Kluyveromyces lactis: one gene and its partner. The main gene of each other region encodes a partner of the protein of the gene in region 2 in a complex. Links are inferred from orthologs where the notes say so. Each region holds a gene or a part of one and is shown on either strand. Other genes may lie near its edges.

Region 1 (2,768 bases), on a different chromosome or scaffold from region 2:
GACTGGCGAAGAATATGGATGAACATCCTCCAATTGCTGGTGTACGCTATAAGGATGAATCAAGCGTTTGGGAGATAGATATCCCATTGAATACACAGGTCTTCTTCGACAAAGAAAAAGCTGCTGAGTCTTGGAACAATGTCGACGTTCAAACTTTGAAAGGTGTGGCTGTAAGCAACGACATGTTGCAATACGCAGGCGTTATGAAACAAGGACAGCTATATTTAATACCAGTAGAGAAAGTTGCCCAAATGAGACCATACTTCCGTTACATCGATTCGCATCAACAGGTTAAGAAGGACGAGGATGCCAAGGCGAAACCTGCGAATCCAACTGCCAAGAAAAACCAGGTAATAACAATGTCAGTGAAGAGTAGCAGCGAAGCGAATCAAAATAGACTAGGAGGTGCATTGCTAGCTCATAAGGTAGCAGACGAAGAGGAATTCAAACCTTTGGAATGGAAGGACGATACTTTCGAATCGTTTGTAGAAGAAGTTACAAGTGAAAAAAGTACTGTACCATTAAAACCAATGGACAACGACGCTGTGTATCTATCAAAACTATTTTAATTAATTATCGTATTTAGTAAGTATAAATATATATTAAACCGAGAAGGGATCAAATTCTCCTTAATCATACCACATCTTAATCAACTCCTCAGAAACAGCACTAGGTGTCAACCCTCCAAGATCAGTGATCAAAGCTGTGATGTATTCTTGACTTGTAAAGTCGACAGAAGGCCCACTCAATGGTTCTTCATCGTCTTCTATACCGTTTTTGCTAAAATCTAATGGATCTCTTTCCATTGGAATATCATCTGACGAAAGAGGGAACATACGTACGAACTTATGCGACTCACTAACCACATAGAATGGTTTCCTTGCATTCTTCGCCAAGACACCGATAGAATACGTTCCTACTAGATTGATAATACCTCCAGATTCAGCAACACCTTCGGCTCCCACAAAGATCTTGTTTACCTTATGGATGATCGTACCAACAGCATTATCTACAATCATTGTCACTGGGATACCCTTCTTTTTAAGTAAATGATACAGTTGCAACCCTTGGCCAGACGGTCTGGATTCAGTGACGATACATCTAAATCTGATTAACTTCTCTGCTGCATGACTTAGTAAAGAGAAAACAGCTCTGGAAAATCCATGCACTAATATGATATCATCATCGGATATGAAATCAATCCCAATCTCAGCAATTCTATCTCTTGATTGTTTAGCTCTACTGACAAATAAATGCCCGTTTTCAATCAAATGCTGTTGACAATTTTCCCAATCACCGTACAAATGTGTGTTCTTCAAGACAAATCTCATAAATATATCACAACCTGCACGTAACGAAATTGAGTTTGGAATAGATGTAGTCAACTCTTCGATAGCTAGCTTTGTCGATTTGATCATCTCTGCAGATGTTTTGGGATTCTTAACTTTCAACATGGTAACTAATGCCTCGATGGCAGCGATAGGCATAGTCATTTCACTGTCTTCTTCCAAAAACTTCAAATAAGTTTGGGTGATATTAAACTCTTGCATCGTCATTTCGTTTGGTATTTCTCTATTGATCCTGTTTCCTTGCACTGGTATGTATTTAATGTGTCACTGACAGTACCCAAATGGCCACTAACTACCTAGTTTAATTGTCTTTGAACCTCACTTGAACCATTTTGGCTGGTTGGATGAGATGGTTCCATGCTTTCAATAGTGAAAAGTTAAATCCGTAAGTCATGATTTTTGAAATGGGTGATGAGTCTGAAATGTTGTTATTAAACACCGCACAGTGTGCCACTTGGCTCATCATTGGAGGTACTAGTTGAATCCTTACAATTACTACATTCTCGAAATGTCTACTTGTTAATCCTGGAGCCATTGGCTGATATTTAACTACTCTTTATGTAATGTATTATTCGAGTGCTATTAAACTGAATTTATTGAAGACAATTTCTAACAGTACCGTAAACCTTCGAGACAACCATCAGAAAGACTAGTATAACCAGTGAAGGTTCGATTTCATACCAGATACCCTTACCAAGCTCTGCAAAGTAGCCAATGCAACATACAATGTCGTTTAGGATATTTCTTCGAAGGTATGCCACTAAGCATGATCTGAGTAAAGTCAGAAACATTGGCATCATCGCGCACATCGATGCTGGTAAGACGACAACCACCGAACGAATGTTGTATTACAGTGGGAAGATCAATAGAATAGGTGATGTAGATCAAGGTGATACTATTACAGACTATCTACCGCAGGAAAGATCGAGAGGAATAACGATTCAAAGTGCCGCTATATCGTTCAATTGGAAGAAAGATTATAAGATCAATCTTATCGACACACCTGGCCATGCTGATTTCACATTCGAAGTTATCAGGTCTTTGAAAGTTCTAGATAGCTGTGTCACCATCTTGGATTCTGTAGCAGGGGTGGAGGCTCAGACTGAAAAGGTTTGGAAGCAGTCAAGTGGCTTACCCAAGATCTGTTTCTTAAACAAGATGGATCGAGTCGGTGCTGGGTTTAGCAGGACAGTGAAAGAACTTGTCGTCAAAATGAATACCAGAGCATTACTTATAAATACCCCAATATTTCAAGTAGATCCTGTGACGAATGAGTCAAAGTTCAGTGGTGTGTTGGATTTAATATATGGGAAACAGTTAATCTGGGACACCAATGATCCAGACAAGATAAATGTCACTGATGTCGATGAAAATCATGACTGTTATGAATATTTGGTTAGAGGAAGAGAAGCATTGGTG
Region 2 (3,494 bases):
CATTTGTTAATGCTTGGATGTCACTATGGGCATTCAAGTTTTATTTCCAGCAAAAGCGTAATTACTCCAAGGAGATATACAATAACAAGACAGAATTCAACAAAGGGTTGGCAATGGCCAACGTTTATGCGAGGAGAACATTCTGGGTCAGTGTACTACATTTGCCGGCAGTATTGATTTTAGCAATTTTGCATAAAAAGGACCGTTGGGACTGGCTCTTTGAAGATAAGAAACAACTCTCAGCATAATTTCACACATTCATTCAACATCAGGAAAATCTTACTTGTGAATAGTAATTTATTATTATGTATTTAATTCAGAACGAAAATCATCAATTATTTTGTAAACATAAACTGTAAATATTCAGAAATCCGTTCAAGAAGTTTACACAAGCTCAGAAGATTAGTTATCAGATTTCTATAATTATTAAGGTACACATGGTACGGCTATTTGATCATGATATATGCAAAAATACTCTATTTATAATAATTTACCGAAGTTCAACGGTCGAAGAGTCCATCATCAACATAATCCTCATCGTCATAATATTCATCAGTGTAATCAGACTCGGATCCAGATGAATCTGAATCCAGTAAAGAGGATGCGTAATCTTCGTCATCTATGTAAATACTTGTCAAAGTTTCACCCTTGAGAGTGGATTTTTCATTGACAATATAAGAGCCCTCAACATAACAATTTGTAAGCTTTGATTTCTTGCCGATTTTTGCATTTCTACCGATGATGACATTTTCTAGCTGGGTTTCATCATCAATTTCAACATTATCAAGCACAACACACCCAACGATACGGCATCGCTTTCCTACTTTACAATTGTCACCGAGGACCGAACGTTTAATATTGGTTTTCTCCAAAATTGCACAATTGTTACCAACCATAGAATCTGCACCGATAGCAGAAGAACCATCAGTAGTGCGTTGTTGAATCGCCGTTTGTTTAATCTTCAAAACGTACCTATTGGATTCCATGTATGCACTCAAACTGTTTGATCTGATAAATAATCCGATTTCAGGTAACACGAAGATACCTATAGTTTCTCTGGGTTTCACATGCTGCCACGAACGCCTAGACAAATCCCTGAATAGCTTGCCTAGCGATTTATTACAGTTTATTGGATCTTTGATTAATTTCTTCTTTCCCTTCAAGAAAGACGTGTTCTGGAATGATGTGGCCAAAGAATCAACGGCTTCCGAATCAGAGTCTAATTCTCCAGCACCTTTCTCGGTTTCATCCTTCAATAGGTTTACTAACTCATGAGAGCAAAAGTAAATGAAGGAGTTCAGTAATTTTGTGGATACAGAGGAGTTCGGATATCTCCAAAGCATTTGGGATCTGATTTGTAAATATTTCGTTTTGTCCACATCGTCTTTGGAATAAACGTCTAGAAGAACGGGCTTACTAACAGACTCCAAATTCTCGGAGTATACAGTCAGGAATTGCTTTAAATGCTTCTTATCGATATTCTCAAACCCATTGTGATAATATACTGCCATAGCTAGATTCTCCGGATCTTTATTCAAATACTGATCTAAAAACACCTGTGGTGGAATGTCTGTGATGAAATCACAAGGTAACAACACGAAATCTCCAGTTATCTTATCTAGCAATTCATTCTTCAGACATTCTCCTGTATTCTCACATTTTGAGGGTATAATATTAATAGGAGATGGTTTTTTCAAATAGTGAGCATGGTTCGATCCAACGCTTTGGGATAACAGTCCAAAATAATGCCCTCTCACTTCACGGTATTTTTTCAAACTTTCCTCTAATTCGTCAGCATCGGATGCGTCAATAACTAGATTGACCTCTTTAAATTGGGCTTGCTCACACCAATCTAGTACGAACTCAATCATGGAGCGGTTTGCAACCGGCAATAGAGCTTTGGGAACACCAGTGTCTCCACGAACATTGGAAAACGGTGTTAGCTTCGCACCACGTCCACAGAATATAAAAGCTTGAAAATCCATTGTTCTGTACTATTCTGGGAATATTAAACTGTCTTATCTGGAGATCAACGCATCAATAAAACGTAGAACCCACTATATATCTTCAAACTGTACCGTGGCAGGTCATCATCCTACGTGATGCTTAGGTTAGTCAATACTCCATCTTATATTGAAAAGCTTTATTCCTGAAAATTTCAAAATCGTGCGTAATGATCTCCCTTTCTATTTAGTAGATTCCGAATGCTTTTGCCACCATTCAATCTAGTAACCCATAGTCCAAATGAAGAGAATAGGTAAGAAAGGCCAAATCCAACCAATTGAGTTGAGTCAATCCATTATAACAGTACTAGTCCAACCAGGAAGGAATACTGACAGAATAAAGGTACGGGATTTTTCTCCTTTCATATTGAGAAGCAGGAATAGGAAGATTAAGCTAGTCTGATCAGAATAAATACTAAAGATGTCTCAAGAACAGGATCCTTTACTAGCAGCAATGGAAGAAAACGATGGTGATGACACTAACGGAGCTGGTACCAACTCTAATTCGGGAGAAAATAACGCTGCCGCACCTGAAACGGTGGAGCCTGTGGATCCAGAACAGGCTGCAAAGGAAAAAGCGATGTTACATTTTAAGAAAAGACTTATGGAACACAGACGATACGACGATATGTTGAAGCAACGCAGAGAAACCATACGGGTACTAGAAGCAGAATATGAGAGAACAGAACAGGATATCAAGGCGTTACAGTCGATTGGCCAACTCATTGGGGAAGTTATGAAGGAACTTTCCGAGGAAAAATACATTGTAAAAGCGTCATCAGGTCCTCGTTATATTGTGGGTGTGAGGAACTCCGTTGATCGTTCCAAGCTAAAGAAGGGTGTCAGAGTCACACTTGATATTACTACATTAACTATTATGAGAATTTTACCTAGAGAAACTGACCCATTAGTTTATAATATGACCACTTTTGAACAAGGTGAAATCTCTTTTGATGGTATCGGTGGTCTTACGGAACAGATCAGAGAATTGAGAGAAGTCATTGAGCTTCCACTAAAGAACCCAGAAATTTTCGAGAGAGTGGGAATCAAACCACCTAAGGGTGTGTTACTATATGGTCCTCCTGGTACTGGTAAGACTTTATTGGCTAAGGCAGTTGCTGCAACTATCGGTGCCAACTTTATCTTCTCCCCAGCATCCGGTATTGTAGATAAATACATCGGTGAATCAGCACGTATCATTAGAGAAATGTTTGCATACGCCAAAGAACATGAACCTTGTATCATCTTTATGGACGAAATAGATGCTATCGGTGGACGTAGATTTAGCGAAGGTACCTCAGCAGATCGTGAAATTCAACGTACATTGATGGAACTATTAACTCAGATGGATGGTTTCGACAACTTAGGACAAACGAAAGTTATTATGGCTACGAATAGACCTGACACTTTAGATCCTGCTTTACTAAGACCTGGTAGATTGGACAGAAAAATCGAAATCAGTTTACCAAATGAGGCAGGAAGATTAGAAAT

The links.
Region 1: GCD1 (region 2) and GCN3 share a complex: the UniProt entries of both Saccharomyces cerevisiae proteins name them as parts of the translation initiation factor 2B (eIF2B) complex. The link is inferred for Kluyveromyces lactis from reciprocal best matches to the Saccharomyces cerevisiae genes GCD1 and GCN3.

The regions. Positions count from the first base shown.
Region 1 is NC_006042.1:1,293,066-1,295,833, forward strand, and holds GCN3 (translation initiation factor eIF2B subunit alpha), read right to left. Parts: upstream 1,551-2,768; coding exon 630-1,550; downstream 1-629. Other genes in the region: RPC37 (DNA-directed RNA polymerase III subunit C37), read left to right, coding at 1-569; KLLA0_F13981g (uncharacterized protein), read right to left, coding at 1,651-1,884; mitochondrial elongation factor MEF2, read left to right, coding at 2,064-2,768. UniProt on the Saccharomyces cerevisiae protein: Acts as a component of the translation initiation factor 2B (eIF2B) complex, which catalyzes the exchange of GDP for GTP on the eukaryotic initiation factor 2 (eIF2) complex gamma subunit.
Region 2 is NC_006039.1:830,637-834,130, forward strand, and holds GCD1 (translation initiation factor eIF2B subunit gamma), read right to left. Parts: upstream 1,986-3,494; coding exon 501-1,985; downstream 1-500. Other genes in the region: COX10 (protoheme IX farnesyltransferase), read left to right, coding at 1-248; proteasome regulatory particle base subunit RPT4, read left to right, coding at 2,425-3,494. UniProt on the Saccharomyces cerevisiae protein: Acts as a component of the translation initiation factor 2B (eIF2B) complex, which catalyzes the exchange of GDP for GTP on the eukaryotic initiation factor 2 (eIF2) complex gamma subunit.